Rattus norvegicus: one gene and its partners. The protein of the gene in region 4 interacts with the protein of the main gene of each other region in a biochemical or structural test. Links are inferred from orthologs where the notes say so. Each region holds a gene or a part of one and is shown on either strand. Other genes may lie near its edges.

What was found.
Region 1: the proteins of Pml (region 4) and Eif4e form a complex in vitro, tested with the Homo sapiens proteins (4 studies listed by BioGRID and IntAct). The link is inferred for Rattus norvegicus from reciprocal best matches to the Homo sapiens genes PML and EIF4E.
Region 2: the proteins of Pml (region 4) and Daxx form a complex in vitro, tested with the Homo sapiens proteins (2 studies listed by BioGRID, with this or other methods). The link is inferred for Rattus norvegicus from reciprocal best matches to the Homo sapiens genes PML and DAXX.
Region 3: of the proteins of Pml (region 4) and Ube2i, one has a biochemical effect on the other in vitro, tested with the Homo sapiens proteins (13 studies listed by BioGRID, with this or other methods). The link is inferred for Rattus norvegicus from reciprocal best matches to the Homo sapiens genes PML and UBE2I.
Region 5: the proteins of Pml (region 4) and Chek2 form a complex in vitro, tested with the Homo sapiens proteins (2 studies listed by BioGRID, with this or other methods). The link is inferred for Rattus norvegicus from reciprocal best matches to the Homo sapiens genes PML and CHEK2.
Region 6: the proteins of Pml (region 4) and Sp1 form a complex in vitro, tested with the Homo sapiens proteins (2 studies listed by BioGRID, with this or other methods). The link is inferred for Rattus norvegicus from reciprocal best matches to the Homo sapiens genes PML and SP1.
Region 7: the proteins of Pml (region 4) and Mapk7 form a complex in vitro, tested with the Homo sapiens proteins (2 studies listed by BioGRID and IntAct, with this or other methods). The link is inferred for Rattus norvegicus from reciprocal best matches to the Homo sapiens genes PML and MAPK7.

Annotation. Positions count from the first base shown.
Region 1 is NC_086020.1:229,739,253-229,743,552, forward strand, and holds the start of Eif4e (eukaryotic translation initiation factor 4E), read left to right. Parts: upstream 1-1,500; 5' UTR 1,501-1,513; coding exon 1,514-1,531; intron 1,532-1,933; exon of another isoform or gene 1,934-2,005; intron 2,006-4,300. UniProt on the Homo sapiens protein: Acts in the cytoplasm to initiate and regulate protein synthesis and is required in the nucleus for export of a subset of mRNAs from the nucleus to the cytoplasm which promotes processes such as RNA capping, processing and splicing.
Region 2 is NC_086038.1:4,971,473-4,974,720, reverse strand, and holds the end of Daxx (death domain-associated protein 6), read left to right. Parts: intron 1-105; coding exon 106-298; intron 299-458; coding exon 459-933; intron 934-1,049; coding exon 1,050-1,272; intron 1,273-2,372; coding exon of another isoform or gene 2,373-2,456; exon of another isoform or gene 2,457-2,524; coding exon 2,525-2,584; 3' UTR 2,585-2,748; downstream 2,749-3,248. UniProt on the Homo sapiens protein: Transcription corepressor known to repress transcriptional potential of several sumoylated transcription factors. Down-regulates basal and activated transcription.
Region 3 is NC_086028.1:14,791,755-14,795,254, reverse strand, and holds part of Ube2i (SUMO-conjugating enzyme UBC9), read left to right. Parts: intron 1-1,457; coding exon of another isoform or gene 1,458-1,468; coding exon 1,469-1,534; intron 1,535-1,661; coding exon 1,662-1,745; intron 1,746-2,575; coding exon 2,576-2,648; intron 2,649-3,500. UniProt on the Homo sapiens protein: Accepts the ubiquitin-like proteins SUMO1, SUMO2, SUMO3, SUMO4 and SUMO1P1/SUMO5 from the UBLE1A-UBLE1B E1 complex and catalyzes their covalent attachment to other proteins with the help of an E3 ligase such as RANBP2, CBX4 and ZNF451.
Region 4 is NC_086026.1:67,552,089-67,556,096, reverse strand, and holds the start of Pml (PML nuclear body scaffold), read left to right. Parts: upstream 1-1,208; 5' UTR 1,209-1,316; coding exon 1,317-1,373; intron 1,374-3,135; coding exon 3,136-3,599; intron 3,600-4,008.
Region 5 is NC_086030.1:51,477,868-51,481,923, reverse strand, and holds the start of Chek2 (serine/threonine-protein kinase Chk2), read left to right. Parts: upstream 1-1,256; 5' UTR 1,257-1,344; intron 1,345-2,002; 5' UTR 2,003-2,009; coding exon 2,010-2,337; intron 2,338-4,056. Other genes in the region: iron-sulfur cluster co-chaperone protein HscB, read right to left, coding at 321-553. UniProt on the Homo sapiens protein: Serine/threonine-protein kinase which is required for checkpoint-mediated cell cycle arrest, activation of DNA repair and apoptosis in response to the presence of DNA double-strand breaks.
Region 6 is NC_086025.1:135,418,557-135,422,849, forward strand, and holds the start of Sp1 (transcription factor Sp1), read left to right. Parts: upstream 1-1,493; 5' UTR 1,494-1,531; coding exon 1,532-1,538; intron 1,539-1,682; exon of another isoform or gene 1,683-2,539; intron 2,540-2,880; coding exon 2,881-3,038; intron 3,039-3,319; coding exon 3,320-4,293. UniProt on the Homo sapiens protein: Transcription factor that can activate or repress transcription in response to physiological and pathological stimuli.
Region 7 is NC_086028.1:46,669,221-46,671,834, forward strand, and holds the end of Mapk7 (mitogen-activated protein kinase 7), read right to left. Parts: coding exon 2,302-2,614; intron 2,207-2,301; coding exon 1,533-2,206; intron 1,181-1,532; coding exon 1,047-1,180; intron 954-1,046; coding exon 800-953; 3' UTR 501-799; downstream 1-500. UniProt on the Homo sapiens protein: Plays a role in various cellular processes such as proliferation, differentiation and cell survival. The upstream activator of MAPK7 is the MAPK kinase MAP2K5.

The DNA of each region.
Region 1 (4,300 bases), on a different chromosome or scaffold from region 4:
AAATTTCTGCTTGTTAGAAGTTGTTATGAACATAATTTCATGAACATGAAGTTTCTGTTGGGAGCAGCGACATTCGTAAAGAAAAGCAAAGTCTTGAAACTTTAAAACTGCATTGGTGTACGTAACAAAGTAAACAAAAGAAAAATTTAAAACATTGTTAAGGGTTGGGGATATAACTCAGTTGGTAGAGTGCTTATTTAGCACTCCGAAGCCCCGAGTTCCATCCCTCTCAGCAAAAAAGGGCTCTCCCCGCCCCCACTACCAGCACGTGCCAGTAATCCCAGTACTTTGACAGGGAGGTGGAGGCAGGAGGATCAACAGTTCAAGACCATCCTCCCCTACATCTTAAGTTCAAAGCCACCGTGCGCTACAGGAGACCCAGGGTCAAGAAAAAAAATTGTTAAAACAGCAGCGGAGGCGGAGGCAGCCGGTGCTTAGAAGGCACGCGCTTGCTTCTAGATTCCGAAGCGTTTTCAAAGCTGGTTACAGTCCTTACCACAGCACACCCTTGTGAGGTAAGTGTATTATCATCTTTGGTTCATAAATGAAAAAGCTGAGGCGCTGAGTGATTAAGTCACTCGCCTAAGGAGCATGAGTCAACGTCAAGAGTCATAGTTGACCCGGCTTAACGACTCCTGACCCTCAGTCCAGGGCTGAGTCAGCGGAGCCCGGAGTGGCTTCCCTGGCTGGCACCTGGACGTAGGCTATTTCCGTTCACGTCCAAGCAGAATACTGGAACCGATTGGACAGAACTTTCCAAACTTTTTACGTCCAGCAAGATTCACCCCTGACGCCTTCATCTCAGGACTGGGAACAGGAAAAGCCGACGCGTGCACTCCCCTTCCCCAAGCGTGTGAGTGGGTACCGTGGGCAAGCCCGCCCACCCGCTTGGGCAGCGATGGCAGCAAGGGACCACCCGCGTTAGTGGACCGGGGACGGGGGAACGCAGACCTCATCAACGACTCTCCATCGCCGCCTCTTTCTGAAACCAAGAGAAAATGGTGGGAGGCGAAAAGAAAACTAAATAAAAACACAAGCAACTTGTCTTAGGACCTCAGCTAAGCAAATGAAGCCTTCTTGCGTGTGCTGAGCCTGCAGTTCTCAACCTTCTAGGAAAGATGGGAGGACTGGGCGACAGAGGGCACAGCAGGAATGCCCAGCAGTGAGAGCAACCGGAGCTCTGCCCGCTGCACCGCAGAGGCCTAAAACCTACTCTGCAGGAAGTGCGGGCGGCGCTGGGAGCCGCGCACCCTCGCCAGCGACCACGTGATCACTTTTTTTTTTTTTTGGGAGAAAAAACTTCCTTGCCTTAAGAGAAAAAAAAAAAAAAAAAAAGAGACTCCACTTCCCAGAAGCCTCTTGTTCCCCAAGCAGCTGCAGTCTTGCGCAGGCGCCGCCAGGGCCAAACGGACACGTCCGTCACGTGGGCAGGAGCCGGCCAATCCGGTTTGAATCTCATTTTTTTCCTCTCGCCCCCCCTTCAGGAGCGGTTGTGCGATCAGATCGATCTAAGATGGCGACTGTGGAACCGGTGAGTATTGCCTTCGGCCCCCACCCCCGAGGTCCCCGCGCTCTGGCTTCCTCCGCTCAGGGACTGTCCGCAGGACGGCGTTCCCGGCGCGCACAGCGCCTCCGGCCGCGTCCTGCCCCTTTCCCACCGGCCTGACCTTCCGCGGGCAGCCTCGGCGCCGGGAGGCTGGCGGCGGCAGCGTGGAGCGCACACGCCGTGTGGGGGCCCGGGCACCGGGTCGGTGGGGGAGGGGCGCCGCGCGGCCCTGCGGTGCGGCCGGCGGAGGGCGGCTCGGGCCGCCAGCGCGGGATCGGTCTGGGGTCCCGGTGGGCGTGGGGCGGGCGGCTCCTAGCGGGCACCGTGGTTGGCGGGGCGGGTGGGCGGCGAGCTGGCCTGAAAGAGTCAGAGGGAGCCTGAGGCAGCGGCGCCTCGCCGTCGCCCGCGCCCCGCCGCCGGGGTCCTCGTGCGGGCCGCGCTCTCAAGCTGTGGAGGAGGGTGGGTTGGCGGAGCCGGTGGGCGCGCGGGGCCGGGCGGGCGGGGCGCGGCAAGAAGGGGAGCGCGTCCCGCGGGGAGCTGGGGGCTGTGGCGTTGAGTGGAGAGCACGCCCAGGGGTCGTGTCGCGCACCTCCGGGGGCCGGGGAAGGGGGCCGGCCGAGAAGGTGATCACATTGTCCTGGCCCCTCCACGCCGGGACTGGGCTGTCATGGAGGAGGGAAGGGGGAGGAGCGAGGCCTACAGTTCGCTCCAGCGGGTCGGCTGGCCGTAGACCTGCATTTCACACGCGCCGGGCTTCCATTCATTCATCCTCCCGGCGCAGTGCGCACGCCTCCGAGGACCGTGTAGATTCTTCTACTCTTACGCGAGGAGATCGTCTGGGAGATACTCAAGGAACACTAATTTTGGAAATAGGAACTTTGGAGATTATCTTTTCTTTAATTAAAGGAAGGAAAATTAAGCGTGGGGGCAGCGGCGCGAGCCAGGGCTTGAGTGTGAAGGTCAGAGGGCAGCTTTTGGAGTCCTGAGAATCGAAATTCAGGAGCCTTTTCCGAACCATCACTTAAGCGCCTCAACATCTGCTTTTCCACTGATGATTCCTCCTCACTCTACACTGCTTCCCTCTTAATTAAAGCGCTATTTTGAAGTTAATTGAAGCAAGATGCACAGAGAGCATCACGTAGGTAAACCCGGTAGCCAGAAGGTGGTGATTTTTTTTGTTGTTGTTTTTGTTGTGGTTTGGGTTTGCCGGCAGCTGGCTCACTGGTCTTCCATCCCAGATTTTTAAAGAATGTCACACCTGTGTGATAAAAATCTCAGGTGCAAAAAGGCATAGACTAGCAACCAGAAACCTTTGTATACCACCTTTGCCAGATATTTTTAAAACTCACCCATAGACTGAATAATTTTGATTAGTTTGCAAAACAGCCTTATCTTGGCAGAATTCAAGACTACTTTTTTGTGGGTGGAGGCATGATTTACTTGTTCCTTATTGACATCAGCTTTCCTGCATTTTGCAAAGCTGCCTAATAAGTTGTTAGTGAAATTAACTAACTTTAGAATATCAATGTAAGAACAGGAGGGGAAGCATTTAAATTTAACTTAAACTCTTGACAAGTTCTGCCGTCTACTTCTGACTGAATCTTCTACCTTTCTCTACCAGTATTAGAGGAAAATATTACAGGTAATAATAGAGGCAAAACTAAAAAGACCTAAGTAATAAAACAGCAGTGTGAACTATGACTCTCAGTTCCATTTAAGTCTTGGATTGTGCTAAAGCCACAATGTAGTCATTGGATTTTGTTCTGAGTCAGCTCAGAGTTGCTGATACCTTTTGGGTGGTTACCAAGTGATATTTAGAATACAAAGTTATATAAAATGCGGTCTGTGCTTTGTGAGCTCTTATGGAGCCTAACTGCCAGTGTCAGGCTCAGAGGTGAGATACTCTTCCTACTGATGACCCTGTTGATGTGCATAGTGTGTGTAAATTTAAGGACAAGAGAAGCCTAGAAGCCTAACATGTGAAGGGTGGAACTTGGGTTGAAACTAGTTGGAGACAGTGTGCAAAGTGACACTGAGGTGCTCATTTTCTGTTTACTGTTAGCACACCCTTGCTTAGAGGCTAGTCATACAGTATTTTAATATTTGTAAGATTTTTTTTTGGAGCTGGGCGGTGGCTGCGGGCTACTTTCATCCCAGCACTAGGGAGACAGAGGCATTTCTTTGAGTTTGAGCCCAGCTTGTTCTACAGAGCTAGTTCCAGGATTCCCTCCAAACTGAAAAGATTTGGTTTGGATGCTTGATTTGTAGCTCAGGACCTGGTGCATTTACTAAGTTTATTCTAGCACTAAACTACACCAGTACGTTGTTTTTGAAGTACTTTATTCAGAGGCTTGGCAGAAAGGTTGTATGTAGAAGCCCACGTTGTCTGCTGTCCTGTGCAGGGCAGACCTTAGAGGTATCCCCATGGCTTAGAGCACACTAGTACTTTTTAAAAACAGATGATTTAGTCTACTATTGGATTACAGTTGAAGCTTGTAAAAATTAAAAATCTTATTTGGTCATTGCTATTTTTATTTAGCTTATGAGCTTTTGTGAGTTTTTTGTTTGTTTTGGTAGAGTATTTAATTGTAAACACTTAGAACACTGGTTCTCAACCTGTGGGGTGTGACCCTTTCGGGGGGGGGGGTGTCTAAGGACTGAGCTGCCTAAGACCACCAGAAAATACAGATATTTACATTGATTCATAACAATAGCAAAATTAGTTAGAAAGTAGCAGTGAAAATGGTTTTATTG
Region 2 (3,248 bases), on a different chromosome or scaffold from region 4:
GTGACGTGCTTGGGTAGCACTAGTAAGGTCCCAGAGTCAAGTCCTCATACTACCAAAAACCTGTGTGGCAAGGGATTCCTTAAGAGGGACTCCTCTTTCCCCCAGGGTCCTAGTGGAGTGGCATCCCAGGAGGACCCTACTACCCCCAAGGCTGAGACCGAGGATGAGGAAGACGATGAGGAAAGTGATGATGAAGAGGAGGAAGAGGAAGAGGAGGAGGAGGAGGCCACCGAAGATGAAGATGAGGATTTAGAACAGTTGCAGGAGGATCAGGATGATGAAGAGGAGGAGGAAGGAGGTATATGCATAACCGGAGCGCCCCTGTGGTAGAGGTTCTGCTCTGTCCGACATGACCTCCTTGTTGATCCTGTCCTTCCTCCTCCTCCCTGCACAGCCCCCCGACCCCTGTTCCTCTCTCCACCCCTGTTCCTCATTCCACCCCCCCTTTTCTTTTCCAGATAATGAAGACGATAAAAGTCCCACATCCCCTTCGCCCATTTTCCGCAGAAGGAACTCAGCACCCACAGAAGGGCTCAGGTCCCCGGAGGAGCAGCAGGAGAGAGGACTGACGGGGACGCCAGCATCCCCGCTGGAAGCATCCCCGGGCCTTCCCAGCACCGATGCTGAAAGCAGCGGCGAGCAGCTCCAGGAGCGGCTCCTGGCAGGAGAGAGTCCCGTGTCCCAGCTTTCTGAGCTAGACATGGAAGCTCTGCCTGAGGAGACCATCCCTTCCCCTGAGGAAAGGGGCATTTCCTCTTCCAGGAGAAAGTCAGACAGTTCCCTCCCCACCATCTTGGAAAATGGGGCAGCTATGGTTACCTCTACGTCCTTCAATGGGCGTGTCTCTTCTCACCCTTGTCGAGATGCCAGTCCCCCAAGCAAGAGATTTCGGAAGGAAAAGAAGCAACTGGGACCTGGGCCGTTAGAAAACAGGTAACGTCGGGTGAGGAAGAAGGCAGGCAAGGAGGCAGGATTCCCTGAAGGGAACCTGGTGTCCTAGGTCTCCCTGCGGCCTCAGGCCCCTTCTGTCATTTCTCTTCTGTCCTTAGCTATGTAAAAAAGCAGACGATGGCACAGCAGGACAGTGGGTGGAAGATAAGTGTCCTGTCTACTCCGTCCTCCCCCTTGGCCTCTGTGGGTCCTGTTGCTGATTCCTCCACGAGGGTGGACTCTCCCAGCCATGAGCTGGTAACCAGCTCCCTGTGCAACCCTTCTCCATCCCTGATACTCCAGACTCCCCAGTCTCAGTCTCCCCGGCCTTGTATTTATAAGGTAAGCTGGGGGGGGTTCCCCTGTCAGTTCATTTTCACCTTCTCACTCTCTGTGGGGGCTGCACCTCCTCTTTTTTCCCCCATTCGCCAGTGGGTAGTGCGTGCATGTGTGTACAGTGACAGTTTTGGAATTTTGGTTTCTTAAAACTCAGAGCTGGATAGTGGTGACACATGCCTTTGATCCTGGGAGGCAGAGGCAGGAGGATCTCTTGAGTTTGAGGCCAGCCCGGTTTACAAAGTGAGTTCTAGGACAGCCAGGGCTACACAGATAAACTGTGTCTAAACCCCAAAACCAACCAAAAACAGTGAAAGAGCTGGCTTTCATTTTAATCCCCAGTGTGGGGATGTGGGGCTGCTCCCAACTGATCACTGTGGCTGAATGTGACTCACTTTGAGCTCAGCAGAGCTGTGGCTTTGCCAGCTACAGGCAGTTGCTTTGGTTGTGTGAACATGATGGTTAGGAATTGTGGAACTTTTCAAGAGAGCGTAGAAATGGTAGACACCACCCCACCACCACCCCACCTCCTCCAAGAGGCATGGTGTGAGCTCAGGGGTTGGTTGTGGTATGTTAGTCTTGCTCAAAGAAGAGAGAAATTAGATTCAGAGATCCCTATCTCTCCCCTCTATCCTTCTTTCCTATCTAGTGATGGGGTAGATAAAGGGGAGGAAAAAACCCACAAAGTCTCAAAGACTGACTGTCTATGTGTGTTTAGATGTATTTTGCCCGGCATAGTGGTTTATTCCTGTAGCCCCAGCATCCAGGTGGCAGAGGCATACAGATGTCTATAACTTGAGTGCCACAGTCTAGTCTACTGAATGAGCTCCAGGACAGTCAGGGTTACATAGGCCGTGTAAAACAAAAAGTGATTTATTGTATGTAACTAGGTGTTCTGTTGGTATGTATGTGTGTTACATTTGTGTCTGGTGCTCATGGAGGCCAGAAGAGGGCGCCTGATCCTCTAGATCTGGAGTTACAGAGACAGCACTAAGTAGCCATGTGAGTCTTGGATACAGAACACAGGTCTCCTGCAGAGCAGCAGTGTGTCTAGTGGCCAAGCCATCTTCAGCCTTCCATCCTGCTTTGTTTTGTTTTTGAGACAGGGTCTCTATGTATCCGACTGTTCCAGAACTCTGTATATAACAAGGCTGGCCCCAGTCTCAGAGATGCCTGCCTCTGCCTCCTGAGTGCTGGAACTAAAGGCGTGGGCCATCATGCCTGGTTCACCCTTCCTTCTCTCCTGACTTGTCTGCAGACGAGTGTGGCCACCCAGTGCGATCCCGAGGAGATCATCGTGCTCTCAGACTCTGATTAGCAGTCCCTGCATCCAGAAGGGTTTCTAATGGCTGTTAGAAGATGACGGAGCAAATGATGGACAGAGCTCCTCCCGTTTTGGTGGTGTTTCTTTTGACAAAAAATCAGATGTTTTAAGTTTTACACAGACACATTAATAAACAATGAATTTCTTTTCTTATTGTATTCTTTTCTTAAATTGTCTTTCTCCTATGACAGCTGTCACCTGGATCTGCCCTTTCTAGCCTGGACCTCTTTTTAGGGTGCCCTCATCCTTACCCTTCTTTGAGCCTCCCTCTAGGCACTTGGAAAGATAAGTGCTTCAGAAGCCTTCTTAAGCCGCTTTACTTTCTTATTTTGAGCGGTATGAGTGAAAAGGCCAATCAGGGGCTGACTCAAGGTTATTTGACCAATCCTGGCCCGGAGGAAGAGGGCGGGGCTTCAGGGGTTCTGTCATACGCTGGGAAAAGGGCTGTTAGATCCCGCGAGCGAGCTAATGTCCAGGGCTCGGGGTGGAGCCTGAGGAGCGGAAGCCAGTACTGGTCAATGGGAAAAGGTAGGCTTGCAGGATTAAAGGGGAGCGAAGGCTTCGGCCAAATCAATTCCTGAGTCCTTAGCCGCAGATGGGACCCGGTACCTTTAAGGAGGAATGAAGAGCCGGTCCTTTAAAGGGAAAGTGTTGGTGT
Region 3 (3,500 bases), on a different chromosome or scaffold from region 4:
ATGGCCGGGCAGCTGTGTAAGCTTGAGAGGCCCTGGCTAGGTCAAGAACACACAGTAATTCCTAGGGTAGTCATGGCTTTGCAGGTAAAATGGGCAGCCTGAGCTAAGTCTAAGTAGCAGGAACTCTAGGGATGTCTGCTTGAGGCCTGTCTGAGGTGGTAACAGGAGTGTGTTCTAGCAAGAATCTTGCTCTTGTCCAGAGGTAATTGAAGGTTCCACCTCAGAGTGAAGACTTTGAGCTGAAAACAAAAGACTAGGCTAGTGCTAGTCTTGCTGGGAGATTTTACCCACAAGACCAATAGAAGCCTGAAGCTGGGGTCAAAAAAGGAACCTCTGGGATTGGGGATTTAGCTCAGTGGTAGAGCGCTTGCCTAGCAAGCGCAAGGCCCTGGGTTCGGTCCCCAGCTCCAGAAAAAAAAGAGAAAAGAAAAAACGGAACCTCTGAGAAGCAATTCGGTATGAAACACCTATTGCCCTACTAGATTCTTGTTCATGAGGGGTCGTGTCCCTGTGATGCACACACCCCAAAATCCCAGTGCTCTGTAGGTTTGGGAGTCTCTGATTACTGTTTCATGTGATTTTTTTTTAAGTAATATTAAAAAGGATATAGAGGTTTAAAAAAAAAAAACCAAAAACCCAAGCAGGTGGTATCCAGGTTGGAGTCACAGTCAAAACAACAGGCTGCGGTCCTAGGTGAAGATGCTCCTTCACCCATGCTGAATGGAGTCCAAGTGTGCCAAGATGGTCCCTGGCAGAGGCTGCTGGCCTGACCTGGATCTTGCCTTCGTTCCCATAGGGTCATAGGGCAGATCTCTGAACTGTGAGCTGATAAGCTGCAGGCCGATAGTCTGGCCTCTTGGGGTAGTCTGCCTATGGAAGTTTGCCATGCTCTGCCCTATGGTGCGGACTTTTCTCACTAGTACATTTAGGAGTAGTGATTGTCCTCCTGTTGGACCTGATTCTAAGCCGGGGTCTCAGGGCCCTTGTTCCTGAACCCTCCTCTAACTCCCAGGCTAGTACTCTACCTTTGTGGTGTTTTATATGGTGCTTGGTGAACCAGCAAGACACATCCTAGCCTCAGATGAGTGTGTGAGGTACCTGCGAACCCCTACCTGTCCTGAGAGTTTGACTGTGGAGTGGGTGCTAAGTCTCGCTGATGCTCAATGCCTGCCAGGGAGGGGACAGCCTTTTTGCAGGCTATTCTCACTGTACCTCCCAGCAGTTGAGTTTGTAGAGCACAAGAGAGACAGCACTGGTGCTCTACCTGCCTGCCTGGAGGTGTTCTGAGGACTGGTCAAAAGTGCAATGCTCGCACTTGCTCCAAGGGCAGCTTGACCAGCTGGGCTCCACCTCATTTACCTGCTTCTTGGTGACAGCCCTCTCTGGCTGGGGTGGGATGTGGCTTAGAAGATGTGTGTGTGCTTTACCTAACCCTCCCTCTGTGGATTCCGTTCCAGGGACTTTGAATATGTCGGGGATTGCCCTCAGCCGACTTGCGCAGGAGAGGAAAGCCTGGAGGAAGGACCACCCTTTTGTAAGGAGCAGCCTGTGTCTGGTCACAGGAGGGGCTTTCCGTTGACTTGGTATACTCAGCCTGTGGCCACTGGGTGAGAGCCAGGCTTGTTGTCTTGAGCTGGTTTGTTTTGTGACTTCTTTCTCAGGGCTTTGTGGCTGTCCCAACAAAGAACCCTGATGGCACGATGAACCTGATGAACTGGGAGTGTGCTATCCCTGGAAAGAAGGGGGTAAGGGTGACCACTGGCTTTGTACCTACTAACTTAAGAGGTTCAAGGGAGCTGAACTACTATAGGGACCTGAGTACATGGATTTGTGACCACAGCTAGCCACAGGTCACAGCTCTCCCCAGGATAAGGAGTGGCCTGTGGGGTAGGGAGGCTTGGACCCTGGCAAATCATTGGATTGGTGACCAGCCTTGAGGTGAGGAGCTGGTGAAGGTCGTAAAGTGTCCACAGAGAGCACAGGCTGTGTTTCTTTACACACATTGACCTCAGTGCATCCAGTTGTCTACTCTTTTCCAGCCTATGTGAGAGGGAGGGTCTCCTTTAACTTCAGACATTGTCCAAACTTGGGCCTCCGGGTTCAGCTTAGTATCTGAGCAAAACCGTAGTTTGGGTTCATCTGTACAGGCTCTGTTGTGAGTGTGAGGTGGGTCTTTGACGTGCCAGGGTGTGCTTGTCTCTCAAGTCACGTTGGGGCATGGGCACTGTAGTGCTTCCATCACATGAGCTGAGAGTAGGAAAACCGTCTGGTGGCGAGTGGTGTGCTCTCCCCACCTTGATAGATCTGAGGTGCTGGCTTGAATAGTGCAGGTACGAGCTGCTGGGCTTAGCTTTTGTTTGCTGAGCTTTTTGGTGTCTCAGACACCCAAGAACTGTGGATCCTAAGCTTTCCAGCAACTGCCAAGCTCCTCATAGGCATGGTGGGGGTCTTCTTTGGTCCTAGGGGGACAGTAATAGTGTAGAGAACAGGCCCGAAGGACCCAGGTTTAAGGAAACTTCTCTTGGCTCACCTTGGCAAGTGAGCCACAGGTCTAACTCTGGTTCCTTCCCCACAGACTCCGTGGGAAGGAGGCTTGTTCAAGCTACGGATGCTTTTCAAAGATGACTATCCGTCCTCACCACCAAAATGTAAGTTGTGCAGAGAGCCGGCAGTCCACTTCCCAGTGCCACCCTTTGGGAGCCATGTCTATGGATGCTTGGTCTAGCAGACAGGTGTCAGTGCTGGGATAAAGTCAGTACTGCTGAGCCGGCTTGGATGACAAGCCAGGGTAGAGGCGCATATAATTAGAGTGGTCTCTAGTCCCAACCAATCGGGATGTACCACACGAGGCAGAGGGAGAGTTGTGTCAGGCTTAAGCTCCTGGGTGCTTTTGTGCCCACAGGTGCCACAGGGGAGTAGGAGAACAGGGGTCTGTAAGTTCCCAGTAGATTAGTTAGCATACATCAGGTGCTGAGTTCAATTCAAAGCACTAAAGGAGAGCGAAGAATCTCACTCATTCCCGTCTGTTGTGTTCTGTTGGATGCCCCACATCCCAGTAAGAGGCTGTGCTTGTGGCCTTCAGACCTGTTGTTAGAAGAGAAAGCTGAACTGATCTCAGTGCAGCACAACTTGCTTGGGTGTGCAGTGCCCACCACCACCATTCTGCCCAGGGTAAGGCCAGGTCTGAGCTGGTTTGTAAATAGAGATTTGCCTGCTGCAGGGTCCCCCAGGAGTGCTTAAACATGGCTTATTGGGAACCACTGGATGGAATCTTACCTGCTGTTTGGGATTTTCTTGTCTGTCTGAGTTCTTTTTGCCGTACTGTTGGTGATTCATTCATTCTTTCTTTCTTTCTTTTTTCTTTTTTTTTTCTTTTTTCTTTTTTTCTTTTCTTTTTTTTTTTTTCGGAGCTGGGGACTGAACCCAGGGCCTTGCGCTTGCTAGGCAAGCGCTCTACCACTGAGCCAAATCCCCAACCCTGTGATTCATTCTTTTAATTG
Region 4 (4,008 bases):
CCAGGATGCTGGGTTTCCCTTTAGCACCCAACTCGCCCCAACTCTTAAGTTACACCATCCCTTCTAATCAGTTAGAACAGAGAGTAGGGTGGATGCACACAGGGGCCAGAAAAGTGGGTGGGAACAGACTGAAGTCAGAAGCCAAAGGCACTGTCCAATGAGAGTGTCTGCAGTTGTGTGCTTTCCTCACTCACTGGGTTCTGAATTGCTTTTCATTGGCCAAAAAGCTAACTTTCTATCTTCTTGTTCTTTTCACTGCTGCTGGCCAGCTCCTCCCTGACTTCTCTACCTCCATACAGAGCACATTCACCAGACCTATTCGTCACATCATCCTGTTCTGTCATCACTGTCCTTCCACTGACTCAGGTCTGGCTGCCTCCCACAACCACTTTTCATAGGCCACCTGCCTCAAGGTCATCCGAGAGACAAAGTTGACACTTTGTAGCAAACCCTTCACCAACTCTCTGATCATATACAGAACTGGTTCATCTCTCATTTTATGATTAATCTAATCTTCTCTGACATCATCACAGGAGCCCCATCTCAAGTCTGAAAATGGTCCTAACTACTTCCCAAACTGGCTCTCTTGTTTTAGACCTCCACTCCTTTCCAGGTGCGTGCCTCTCTTTAGAGTGTCCGTGCAACCCTGAATCCCTGGTGATTTTCTATCTCATGCTTCATTCTCAGCTGAGGGATGCCTTTCCAGGCAAACCCATCCCAATACTGGGTCGACGTCTCCATTTAGGGTCACTTGGGGGCTCGCTCAAAGAGGGGGTTTATTTCTCTACCTGGCTTTTAACTAGAAAGACACAGAACTGTGAGGTGAGTTGAATAGCTCCCAGTCCGGGAAATAAACGCCTCTCTGTTAGGCAGTCAGCTCTGCATCTCTCCTAGTGTGCATGCTGAGTGCGTGATAGGATCTTTACTTGTAGAGCAGTCAAGCTCGCGAACATTCTGCTACAGAGCTGTGCCAGCCTGCCGGGCTTGTTTACGTGCTTGTTTGGTTAACCTTTCTGGCTCTATCTGAGTTTGTTCCATAACTTCGCAGTCTTTCTCTTAACTTTAGAAGGGAGACTACAGAACGAGCCTCTCCGCCCCTAGACCCGCCCAGTCCTGTCTCACTTCCTCTCGGGAGGCGGGCCCTCCGCGGGCACCTCCCCGCAGCTCACTTTTCTGGCTCAAGTCTGGGACGCATTTCCCGCCCTCACAGACCCAATCCAGAAATCGAAACTGAACCAGGCTCTACGCAGAAGGCGCCTGCACCCTCTGGATCTCTCTGTCAGCAACTGGATCCTGCCCTGATCCCCACGCCCACCATGCCTCCCCCAGAGGAACCCTCCGAAGACCATGAACACAGCCAAAGCCCCGCGGAGGTACTACTGGATTAGGAGATGAGGGGATGCTAGGGTTTTTTATTCGTTTACTTTGGTGGGGAAGTTGAGAACAGAGAAGGTCATTATAGAAAAGTGAGTTAGTGTCCTAAAGAGACACCAGGGTCCTGAACCCCCTGACTGGGCATGGATAGAACTGATAGCGTAGAATAAAATAGGAACAGGATGAGTTACAGAAGCCCTGGGGACAGTTGGGTTGCAACTCCTACTCCCTGAAGCCTTGCCCTTTATCTCCTATCTCTGCCATGGCCTGGAGCTAAAGGCATGTCCCAGGCATGGCAGAACTAACTATAGCACCCCCACCCCGACCCACACACAAACACTTCCAGTTTCTCAGCAGTGGTCGCACATCCCAGGAGCAATAGAACTTGGGATGTGGGAGTTGGAGGAGGATGACAGGTTACAGGCCAGCCTAGTCTACAAAGAGAGTTCAAGACTGCCGAGGGCATCACAGCAAGACCTGTTTCAAAACAAAACAGAACAAAACCTGGTCCAGATCAAAGTGCCTGCTAAAACCAACATGATCCATGCAGAGTCAGTCTCTCTCTCTCTCTCTCTCTCTCTCTCTCTCTCTCTCTCTCTCTCTCTCTCTCTCCATACATTTATTTTATGTGTATGAGGTGTTTAGGGATTTTTATTTTATTTTATCGTCTTGAACACAGGGTCTCACTTTGTAGTCTTGGCCTAGCTGGAGCTCACTGTGTAAACCAGGTTGGCCTCAAACTCCTAGAGACCACCTGTCTCTGCTTTCTGAGCTCTGGGATTAATGTATGCATCCCCAAGGTCATGGGTCTTTTCCTAAGGAAGCCTAGCTCATGGTCCTCCCGGAAGTATTGCCTCAACCCCCCCTGAAGGAACTACCCCCATCCCGCTATTCTTCATTCCTTTTTCTCTTGACAAAAGCACAAATAAGGCCACATTGCCATAACTTTTTATATTAGCGTTGTATAACTGAGGGTTAAAAATACTAGTTAACATTAACGGGTACTTCTCATGTGCCCAGTACTGTACTGAGAACTTTGGACCATTTACACACCAGCTCTACCTTTTGTATCTATGAACTAACTAGTCTTATTGTTTAGTATGACTGGAATTACACAGTATTTCTCATTTTATAGCAGGCATATTTCATTTAACACAATGTCTTCAAGGTTCATCCAGGTTGTTGAATGTATCAAAAATTTCATTCCTTTTTAAGGTTGAATAGTATTTCGTTACATTTGCAGCCACGTGTTGTTCACGTATTCCTGTGCTAATGGACACTTGGGTCACTGTGACTTTTGTGGTGGTGTTGCTAGCTAGGCACATTAGTATATAATTATATGCCTGGATATTTTTCCCAGTTCTTTTGAGTATATATGAAAAGTAGAAGTTCTGGTGGTTTAAGTCTAACTTTTTGAGGACTATCCCACCAACTGTGTTAAGCACTTTATATGAAGTTGGTACTTTTCCAGACTCGAGTTCTTTAAAGGCAAAGATGTATCCAGTCTTGTATCTCAGTGTCTACTAGTGAGTCTGAGGATAAGTAGATGGGAGTCCAGTAAATTGTGTGGCGAGAGCTGCAAGGCCTCAGTAAATGAGGAACTGGGCTGCCGATAAGCCAGGACAGGATCCAGTGACTCCCAGGAATGGAATGTGAGGTCCTACCTACTCCAGCCTCCAGCTGAAGGAATGGGTGGCCAGTGGAGGGGACAGGACTTTGGGGCTTTCTGTAGGCCTCACTTCTCTCTCCTTGGTTCACCAGCAAGCCATAAAGGAGGAATTTCAGTTTCTGCGCTGCCCGGGCTGCCAGACCCAAGCCAAGTGCCCCAAACTGCTGCCTTGCCTGCACACGCTATGCTCCGGATGCCTGGAGGCGCCCGGCCTGCAATGCCCGATCTGCCAGGCACCGGGGTCGGCCAATGCTAATGCGGAGGCCCTGGATAACGTGTTCTTCGAGAGCCTGCAGCGGCGCCTGGCGGTGTTCCGGCAGATTGTGGATGCGCAGGCTGCGTGCACTCGCTGCAAAGAGTTGGCTGACTTCTGGTGTTTCGAGTGTGAACAGCTCATGTGTGGCAAGTGCTTTGATGCACACCAGTGGTACCTCAAACACGAGGCCCGGCCCCTGGCCGAGCTCCGCGACAACTCAGTGCGCGAATTCCTCGACAGTACTCGCAAGTCCAACATCTTCTGCTCCAATACCAACCACCGCACTCCTGCGCAGACTAAGTAAGTGAGGCATCCTGGAGCTGGGGGTGGGGGGTGGGGGGGAGCTTCAGGGAACTGTCACTCAAAATGAGGTCCGCTGGCTCGTAGGCGTTTCTAATGCCCCTCTTGGGGGAAAAATGTGATGTGTAAAAACAGTACATTTTAGTATTTGTCACCACCGAACTTTAGATGTCTTAAGAGTAGACTTTGGGGTTGGGGATTTGGCTCAGTGGTAGAGCGCTTGCCTAGCAAGCGCAAGGCCCTGGGTTCGGTCCCCAGCTCCAAAAAAAAGAATAGAAAAAAAAAAAGAGTAGACTTTTCCTTTGGAGGCCCCAGGAATCTCAGTAAGCTGGATAGGGGCAGGTTAAATAGTGTTTGAAAAGTTGAAACTACAGCCTCAGGGAGTGCTATCTGAAAATGACTACATGCA
Region 5 (4,056 bases), on a different chromosome or scaffold from region 4:
AAATGTAAACTCGTCCGTTTCCGTTTTTTGAAGTTTAAAAACAAGGCCCTTGTAGCAGAGGCTAGTCTTGGATTCCTGAACCTGTGTCTTCCACTTCTCAAGTGCTTAGATCACAGGCATACCTATGACCTATATACTTATCTAGCCTTTTAGTTGAATCAGTCTCCGCAAATTGTCTAAGCTAGACTTGAACTGTGGTCCTTCTGCCTCAGTTCCCACGAGCTGGCTGGAAATTACAGGCCCGCAGACGCCGCCCCAAGCCTTGATCTCTAGGGTTACGAAGCCTGAGCCGCCCTCCAGTCACACCGCGCCGCCTGTACCAGTTCATGAGGCTGAAGTAGTCCCGAGTGGGGTCAGGAGGCTGCAGCGCGCGGCAGTGTGCGCAGAAAAACTCATCCCCACGCCCGGCTCCCATCGCGCGGCCGCAGTTCCAGCATTGCGGCTCGATGCTCTTTCCCGAGGCGGCATTGCTGCTCAGCAGGCTCCTACCAAGGAACCTAGCCAGTCGCACCTCCCACACGCACAGCAGGGACCGAGCCCTGCAGCTCCACATTCGTAAGGCCGCCTGCTGGCCCGGGTTACCAGACCGGAGAAAAGGGAAGAAAGTGGCTCGCTGCTGATTGGCTAGGGAGCCGAGGAGGCGGGACCAGCTGCGGGAAACCAAGACGCCGAGTCCCGTTTTGGAAGCTAAACTACAACTCCCAGAAAACCTAGAGGCTGTGCGGGGGAAGCCACCTTTGGGCTTTCTTATTGGTCCTGCCGAGGAGGAAGGCCTTTTGATTGGCTGAGGGTGGAGTTTGTATCGGTAGGTTTAGCGCCACACCACTGGCTGCGGCTCTGGAGTGTTTGTAGCTCTTGGTGGTCTTGGGCGGTGAGTCATAACTGGGGAACTTTCTGTTTGAGTGTTTGAGGATTCGAATACCGTTCTCCGGTTATTTGTGCAAATGGGCCCTCCGCAGCTTCCGCTTTGTCTGCTTACTCGTGCGAGCGAGGGGGCGCTGTGCATAGGCAACCCTTTCTTTTTATCTGCCCTTCTGGGGGGAAGTTCACTTTCCTTGTTACTTGCGAGCTGAAACAGGTCTGGACACATAGGAAGGTACAACGCTGGGCTGTTTGGTGCCAGAGCGAAGTAGTTTTCATAACGAACATTATAAATGTTCATGCCAGCCCCTAGATTGCTTTTTCCCAAATACCAACTGAGAACCCAATCTTCGCTGCTAGGCTCTGCAGGAACTGAAGAGGGTACGTCAGCGTACTCAGCATACGTGTGGGGTAGGATGGCAAGGAATGGATAGGAGACAACCAAACAGCATCTGTACATGAAGGAAGATGGTCTAACGCTTTGTAAGTGGCCTCTGTAATTCTATTCATAATCCTGGGATTTTGCTGTGGTCACTTTTTTTTTTTCACCCATCATTGGGCCTGCCTTTCTTTTTAAGGTGGTCATAATGTGCCTGTTCCTTTAAACTTTTATTTAAAAAAAAAAAAAAAATCACGTGTCTGTGTCTAAGTTTGTGCAGTGCACACGGGGGCCAATAGAGGGCACTGTATCCCCCAAGAGCTGGAATTACAGGTGTTTGTGATCCTCTGGTTGTGGGTGCTGGGAATTGTACACTTTTAACTGTCTTCAGTTTGGATGTTTGACGATACGGGAATGGGATCCAGTGCTTTGCATCTGTTGGAGAAAGGCTCCACCATCTACCATTGAGTTATAGCCACATACCTAATTTTTGGGTAAAGATTCACTTTACTTTTAATTATGTTATGTGGGTGGGAATGTATACATGCTCTGGTGCTTGCAGAGGCCGAGATCTACTTCAGATCCACCGGAGTTGGCGTTACAGGCAACCTTGAGCTGCCAGACTAGGTGTAGAGAACTTACTGAACTTGGGTTTTGCAAGAATAGTATATGCTTCTTCCTGCCCAACCAATCTCTCCAGCTTCCGTTCTTTACTCTTGAGTCCTGAGCCTTGTTCCTTATTGTTGGATTCGTGCTCTCAAGGTCGGATATGAAGAGTCATCAGTCCCACGGCAGCACCTCCTCGAAGGCTCATGACAGTGCTTCCTGTTCACAGTCTCAAGGCGGCTTCAGCCAGTCCCAAGGCACCCCCTCTCAGTTGCACGACCTCTCACAGTATCAGGGTGCATCCAGTTCCTCCACCAGCACAGTGCCATCCTCCAGCCAGTCCTCCCACTCCAGCTCTGGGACCCTGAGCTCTTTAGAGACAGTGTCTACTCAGGAACTCTGTTCTATTCCTGAGGACCAAGAACCGGAAGAGCCTGGACCTACTCCTTGGGCTCGGCTATGGGCTCTTCAGGATGGATTCTCGAATCTAGGTAAGGCACTTGGTAATATAATATATAGTGCGTTGTCGAGAGAAACAGTCAGGGAAGGTGATTAGGTTGTTGTAGCAGAAACCTCAGGGCCCCTGTAACTGGCTGTGGTGGAGAGTGTCTCCTCCTGGCTGCCACTTCATACTGAGGATCAGATTTGGGCCTCTCGCATGGTAGAGAGGTTTTAGACTAAGCTATCCCTGGCTCCCTTATCTTTATTTTCAAATAGAATCTTGTTAGATTTCATAGGCTGGCCTCAAATTTTTTTTAAAATTTTCTTCAGAGAAAAAGGTCCCATGTTGTCCTGGGTTAGCCTTGAACTCACTACGTTGCTCAGCCTGGGTAATGAACTCTTGGTCTTCCTGCCTCTACTTCCCAAGTGCTGGGTTTATAGGCACACATTACCAGGCTCTACTCATTGGTGAGACAAGGAATTCTGCAGCCCAGGTAGGCTTGGGACTCACGATGTAGTTCCTTGTGACCTTGAACTTGCATTGATCTTGTCTTAGTTGGGATTACACATGCCAACCACACATGGTTCAAATTTATTCATTTGAATGTGGATTTCCAACTCATCCTGAGCTAGTTTGGAAAGATACTTGTATTAGGGTTCACTAGAGGAACAGAACTGATAGAATGATGTATGTGTATGTATGTATGTATGTATGTATGTGTATATATGTGCATATATGGGGGCTAATTAGAGTGGCTTACATTGCTGTGGTCTAGCTAATTCAACAATGGCTACCCATGGGAGGTCTAAGAATCTGGTAGTTGTTCAGTCCACAAAGCAGGATGTCTTAGCTGGTCTTCAGTATACATTAGAATCCTGTAGGAGTAGGTTCTAATGCTAGCGGAGGGATGAACTTGCCCGTAAGAGTGAGTTCAAGCTGGCAAAGAGAGAGCAAGCCTCCTTCTTTCCTGTCCTTTATATAGGCTGCCAGCAGCGGTGGTCCAGGTTAAAGGTGGATCTTCCCACCTCAAAAGATCTGGATTAGCGCAGATGCGGTGGTACCAGGAAGCAGGGGCAAAATGAGCTCTGAGTTTGAAGGTAGCCTGGGAGTTCCAGGATTGCCAGGGCAACATAGAGAAACTCTGTCTCAAAAGAAACAAACAAACAAACAAACAAAAAACCAAACAAAAAAATCCTCAACAAAACAGAACAAAGCAACCCCAAACTGGGGAAAGGGGGGTGTCTATTAGATCCGTTTATACAATATGGTCCAGGTCATCCATTAATAGTTCTCTTCATGATGGAGAGACTTAAAACCTAGTAGCTGCCCAGTGCACAAGTCTCAGCGGTGCCAGTTTGGCACCGGCAGCCTGGAGGGTTCCTAGAGAGCTGCTGATCTTCACTCTGTAGTGGAGAGAAGTGGCAAAGGAAAGTTGCAGAAATAATGAAACAGACGCACTTACCAGCGAGAAGCGCAGGCAAGCAAGCAGGCAACCCTTTCCCCCTCGGACCTTTCTGTCTTGGCTCATAGAACGTGATGCCCCACTCTGTTGTAAAGTCTCTTCCTTCCAGCTGATACTGCGAAGACCCACCCAGAGGTCTGTCCCTTAGTTTTCAGATTCAGTCAGGTGGACAGTCGAGGTTAACCATCAATCACACTTACTTTCTCATGTCCCCAGGCCGGCTGTTCTCACCTCACCTCCTGGATGAAAGGTTGTAGATGAGGTAGTGTACTCTGTTGTGTGTAGTTTCTACTATCCCACTTTAGT
Region 6 (4,293 bases), on a different chromosome or scaffold from region 4:
ACCTCAGTTCCTATCTTTAAAGTGTTTCAGTTTTTTAAAGGCGGATCCAGCTCCGTAATGTAGGACACATTAAGTGCTTAACTGTAGATAATGCAGTGACTATATTAATTCCAATTGTTAAACGTGGTGACAGCCGTCAATGACAAACTATTAAACAAGGAGAAAGGAGGCAAAATGGAGGCCAGAGATTGAGGTGCCTAGGGCAAATTCTCTAACCTTTTTGATTGCAAAAGTAGGTTACCGTGCTTTCTACTAGGAGGGTAAATTGAGTATTTTGAGAGCTTGGCTTCACGAAGTTCTCCAGAGTGCGTCATTCTCAAAGCCGAGTGATGGGAGTGAACCCTGCCTGGCCCGTGGTTTAGCGTGTCTGGGGCAGCTTAAGAAAATGGCGTTTGCTAGAGCTTCCCAAAAGCCTTCAGCTCAGTGGACTTGGGTTTTCGTGTGCCGTCACCAAGCTGTCGTCCCGCCCGCCGCCACAGGGCTTCCACCCACGGCGAGGGGGAGCCGCCCGCCCATCCCGGCAGGGGTGACATTCGAGAGGTGCTGTGTAGGAGCGGTGAAGGGAAAACTCGAACGGTCCCGGGTGACGCGACACCCTCGCCCTCGCGCGTCTCAGCGCTGACACTTGTGGAACTGCAAGGCTCCGCTAAAGCGTACCACCTAACGAGGAAAAGAAGCCTCTTGAGGAGGGCCAACATGGCGACCAACTCCACTTGGCACAGCCCGGTTCCCTCCTCATGAGGGGCGGCCCTCTAACGACTATTGGCCAAAGCTAGAGGCGGTGCCAGGCTGCTTTCGCTGCCTCATTGGCCTGAGTATCTGAGGGGGAAGCCTGTTCTCCTCTCCCCATTCCAAGTTCCAGCCTTCACCTTCTACTCGGCGTTTAATTGGCTGTTCATTCACGTCAATATGAGCCCTGTTCCGGTTCTTTTCAGTTGTTGTCCAATCAGAACTTTCTTAACTGCCCGCCTGAATTCTGATTGGTTTAGAAAGCTTGATCCTGTCCTATTCCGGCCTATTTCTTACTCTTCTCCTAAACGGACTTTGCCCAGGCATGCCCAAGATTCTGGTTGGTCGTTGTCCTGTCTTTCTTACCTAATCTCCTCCTATCCCCACCGCTCACGGAGCCCGCCTGGTGGTTGACTGGTTTCTCTGCAAGTCCATCTTCTCATCCCGCCCATCACCACTTCCCGAGTCTCTAATTGGTTGTTAAAACTGAGAGGGCGGCCTTTCTGGGCGGAAACCAGGCACGCAACTTGGTCTTACACGCCTCAGAGAGAGAGCGAGTCTTGCCATTGGGTAGACTGCCCGCCTTTCCTCTGCAAGTCCCTCCTTTCACCCTCCTTCATTGGGAGGGGCAGCAGATAAGGGGCGGGGACTAGGCCGGGCTTGTGGCGCGCTGCTCCCTCCTCCTTACCCCCCCCTCCCTGTCCGGTCCGGGTTCGCTTGCCTCGTCAGCGTCCGCGTTTTTCCCGGCCCCCCCCAACCCCCCCGGACAGGACCCCCTTGAGCTCGCCCCTCAGCTGCCACCATGAGCGGTAAGGATGAGTCCACTCCAAGCCTAGGGGTGGGAGGGGAGTGAGGGGGCGCGCGCGAGGGCCGACCGGGCGGTCCCCGCTGTGAGGGGGGGCGGGCGGGAGGCGGCGGCGGCGGCCTTGGTCCCGCCCGGGGCGGAGGGAAGGGAGGGAGAAGGGGCAGTGGCGGGGCCTCGGAGGAGGAGGGGGATGGGCTACCCGCCCCGGGGGAGGGGGCAGCCTGGCCTCGCCCGCCCCCTGCCCGCCCCGGCCACGGGGGACGGGCCTTACCCCCCACTACCCGGCCGGCCGCCTGAGGCTCCTCCTGTCGGGGGCTGGCGCCGCGGGGGCGGCCCGACCAGTGCAGGCCCCGCCTGGGCCAACCGCCTCCCCGGTCCGCCCTCCGGTCCCAGCCTGCTCCAGGCCCTCCCCCGCACCCCCGTAAATTTCCCTTCCCCCATCCGACCCGCCCTTGCCACGCCCCTAACCCCGAAACCGCCCCTTCCTTCTATGGCCCGGCCCCTCAGCCCCAAACCTGGGTTCTAAGCCCTAAACCATTTTAGCCTCTTACCTGCCCTCTTCAGATGTTTCCTCACCTCCACTTACAATTTACCCTTTCTCGGCCCCTTCCTGTTTTTGTTTACACTTAATCTGTCTCCATCTCTTTTAGTCCTAATTTTAGCCCACTTTCCATCCACCTATGTGTTGGGTCTCCTTTTCCTTCCAGGATGCTTTTTTGTTTTTCTTTTTGAGATAGGGTCTATGTGGTACTCGTAGTAACTCGAAGTTACTATGCAGACCTCAAACTTTTAGCTACCTAGTTGCCTGCCTCTTCCTCCTGAGTGCTGGGATTAGAGTGTGCCATCACTAGGCCCCACTTTTTTTTTTTTTTTTTTTTTAATTTCTGAGACACTGCTCTCAAATTCCCTCAAAAGTGCTGTTTGCATTGAGATCAGTTCTTACTCTGTAGGTCTGGCAGACCTAGAACCACCTGGCTCATCCTTCCAAGTCTTGGGATTATAGGTGTGAGTCACCATGCCTGGCTTCCAAAGCAATTTTTGAGTCATTTCTGGGGTTAATTTATGCCTGGGAAAATAGTGACCTGTCTTGGACACCATTAAGCCATGTGCCTGCTCTGCATGCCTATGGCTTTGGCATCTCAGTTTAATGTGTAACTGAGAATTTCTTTGAACTCTTGTCTCCACTTCCAAAATACTGGGATTTTAGGCCTACCACCATAACTAGCTGTATCTGACTAATACCTTTAAAAAAAAACATTTTATTAGTCATTGCTGGTGGTCAAAACGTTAATTTTAAATCTTAATGTTTTTCCCCCTCAACTTATTTGTTTTGTAATTATTTTTAGACCAAGATCACTCAATGGATGAAGTGACAGCTGTGAAGATTGAAAAAGGTGTTGGTGGCAATAACGGGGGTAGCGGGAACGGTGGTGGTGCCGCCTTTTCTCAGACTCGAAGCAGCAGCACAGGCAGTAGCAGCAGCAGTGGTGGCGGAGGAGGGCAGGTGAGTGATCAAAGATGGGGAAGGTATTGAAAGGGTATAAGTATTCTTAGAAACCTCCTTAACCAAAAACTCTGGGAGAAAGTACAGTAGGGAAGTACACACAGAAAGATAGGTGATCTAGAGGGTCCCCAAATAGGAAAGTTGGAACAGTACACAGAAGTTAGCATTTTGTTTCTGGTTTTTGCTCTTTATATGCCTGCATTGTTGCTGTTTGTCTGTTGAATACTGCCCCCTAGGCCAGCTATTGGGTGCCACTAACTCCTTTCCTCTCTTCTGGCCAGGAATCCCAGCCATCTCCTTTGGCTCTGCTGGCAGCAACCTGCAGCAGAATTGAGTCACCCAATGAGAACAGCAACAACTCCCAGGGTCCGAGTCAGTCAGGGGGCACAGGTGAACTTGACCTCACAGCCACACAACTTTCACAGGGTGCCAATGGCTGGCAGATCATCTCTTCCTCCTCTGGGGCTACCCCTACCTCAAAGGAACAGAGTGGCAACAGTACCAATGGCAGCAATGGCAGTGAGTCTTCCAAGAACCGCACAGTCTCTGGTGGGCAGTATGTTGTGGCTGCTACCCCCAACTTACAGAACCAGCAAGTTCTGACAGGTCTACCTGGAGTAATGCCTAATATTCAGTATCAAGTAATCCCACAGTTCCAGACTGTTGATGGGCAACAGCTGCAGTTTGCTGCCACTGGGGCCCAAGTGCAGCAGGATGGTTCTGGTCAAATACAGATCATACCAGGTGCAAATCAACAGATCATCACAAATAGAGGAAGTGGGGGCAACATTATTGCTGCTATGCCAAATCTACTCCAGCAAGCTGTCCCCCTCCAAGGCCTTGCTAATAATGTGCTCTCAGGACAGACTCAGTATGTGACCAATGTACCAGTGGCCCTGAATGGGAACATCACCTTGCTACCTGTCAACAGCGTTTCTGCAGCTACCCTGACTCCCAGCTCTCAGGCAGGCACGATCAGCAGCTCTGGATCCCAGGAGAGTGGCTCACAGCCTGTCACCTCAGGGACTGCCATCAGTTCTGCCAGCTTGGTGTCATCACAAGCCAGTTCCAGCTCCTTTTTCACCAATGCCAACAGCTATTCAACAACTACCACCACCAGCAACATGGGAATTATGAACTTTACCAGCAGCGGATCATCAGGGACTAGTTCTCAAGGCCAGACATCCCAGAGAGTTGGTGGGCTGCAAGGGTCTGATTCTCTAAACATCCAGCAGAACCAGACATCAGGAGGATC
Region 7 (2,614 bases), on a different chromosome or scaffold from region 4:
GCCAATTCCTTACTGCAGACCCATCTGTGTAGGGCTACCCTCGACAGAGAAATACAGCACCTATGGCATTGCCAATCAGCTCAGGCATGGCCACAGTCACACCCCAGCACTCCCACAGCTCTCCTCAGAATACTTCCTACCTTGGTCTCATCAACTAACTCCCTTAAGTGAGCATCATGGAGCCCAAACCCATCTGCCTTCACTCATCCCTCAAAATTCAACACCAAGACCACACTCACCACAGCTGCTGCCCATCGACTCTGAAGGAGCCACGGCAAAGCAGCTTAATTTGGTCCCCTACTTCCCTAGGGATTGTCATGAGAGAGGCAGCAGAGAACTCTGGGGGCTGGGAGTGGTGGGAAGTAGAGGTCTCAATAAACCTTCAGGATCTGATGGCTTTGTGGACAAACATTTACTTGGCTCCAAATACGAGCACCTGGCTTTTCCTTATTCCCCTACTGTTGGGGTTTTACCCCAACTCCAACAATAACAGAGTCAGATTAAAGGAAACCTTGTATTTCACAGGCCTCATTTCGATGGCAAAACAAATGCATATTACAACAGTAATAAAAATACAACACTGGAGAAGACTGCGCAGGAAGGAGTAGAGCCTCCCATCCTGTTATGGCTCGGTGGTGGCTCAGGCGGCTGCTTAAGGCTGAACGGTGGGTCTGAGATGAACCTGCAGAGTAACTCAAGCTGAGCCTCACCTGCCAGGCTCAAGGCTGCAGCCCTCTGGACTGCACCCCTGGACCTTGAAGCTGGGTCTGTCCTGGCAGCAAGGCACAAGCTGTGGGTCTCAGGGTTCTTGGAGGTCAGGCAGGTCAGACAGCAACATTGGGGAGTCCATCTGGATCTCACGCTGCAGAGACTCAATGTCAGCGGGGTTCATGCCGTGGCCCTCAAGCCAGTCAGCAAGGAGGGAGGCTGAGAGTGAGGCTGAGTCTGCCTGGCTGTAAGGAAAAGAAACAGGGATGGTGTTCTAAGCCTTGGCTGGCTAAGCAGCCATTCAGACCCTCCACTAAAGCTCAGTCCAGCCATCTTACCTATCCTGTGGCCCATCAGCCACACCCATGTCAAAAGATTGGTTTAAGAATTCCTCCAGGTCAAAGCCAACACCGTAGCCAGCCCCACTGCCCTTTGGAGTGCCTGAGAACACGGGAGGCAGGGGGTCCTCCACCTGCAGGGGACAATAACAGGTTATAACACAAGTGCCAGGAAGGACAAACTGAGGTCAGCAGAGCACACCCTGATATTTCTGACTAGTCTGCCCAGATATCCTAGAGCATCAACACTGCCTTGAAATCACCCAGTGCTAGCGCAGGTGAGGCTGTCTCTAAGGCAGACATTTTCCAAGCAGCGTCCACCTCCCAACCACCTCTGCAATGGCCTTCTGTGTTCCTTCTATGAGCAAGGGGGCAGGCTCACGGAGGGAAGACTCCCTCTGCTGCTTCCTCTCACCCAACATGGACAACTACCCCACCCACCTTCCAGGACCAGGTCAAGATATCCTGAGCCTTCTCCCTTCTCACCTGAGACTTGGACAGTTGCTGGGTCACCAGGTTGACATCAGGTGACTCTGATGTAGAAGGCTGAGGGGTGAGCCCAGGATCTGGAGGTGGTGGGCCAGATGGGAAGTAAGGCAGAACTTCTGGGGCACCAGAACCAGGCAACCCACTAGGTGGCACAAGTGACTGGGAGGCCAAAAGGCTAGTGGAAGGGGCAGTCTGGAGAGGGGCAGGGACAGGGCCAGCAGGCTGGGGAACAGGCCCAGGGGGTGGGCAAACAGGCTGGGAGGCAGGACCAGGAATAGAGCCTGCAGGCTGTAGAGGAGCAGTAGACTGAGATACAGGGCCATTGGGAGGACTAGTGGGTTGAGCAGAGGACTGTGTTGGTGTTGGTGTTGGTTTTGGTGTTGGTGCTGGTGCTGGTGCTGGTGCAGGGACAGGAGGCCTAGCCATGCGAGTCCACCGCTCTAGCAGGCTTCGGTCATTGTCACTGAGCACCAATCCAGCCAAAGGGTCAGTAGAGGGGCCCCCCAAGGTGCCAGCCCCCCTCTCCTTGCGCTCCCGCTCTTGTCGTCGCTTCTCCCTCTCCTTGGCTCTCTCTTGTCGCCTCCTGCGCTTCTCTTCTCGCTCTCGCTGACGTTCCTGAGCTGTCACAGGCTTTCGAGGTTCAGGGGCCTCCAAGGGTGCACTGGGCCCATCTGCAGAAAAGTTGGAAGGTAAGGACTTACAGATCTGTCCCAGAATCCCTGCCTACCACTCCACTACCCACCCAGGTGCTGGGCCCACAAACCACCTCGAAGCCGGCTCCTCAGGGACTTGAGCAGAGCAGCTTTGAGGGCTGCTTTGGTATTGTCGGAGATGGCACCCTCTCTTTTTGGCGGAGCAAGCTCACTGGCGGGCGGGGCAGGCTGCAGAGTCAGATCAACAGTGTCAGGGGCAGGGCCAGAGCATGGTGGTAGTGCTGGAGGAGGTGACTCCATGGCACAGTCTCCACTTGGAGCCCAGGGGCTGGGCATCTCGACATCTGGACACACAGGCTCACTAGCCACAGGCTGCAAAGAGGGCTGGAAGCGAATTTGTTGGCGGATGCCCTCCCGTCGTGCATG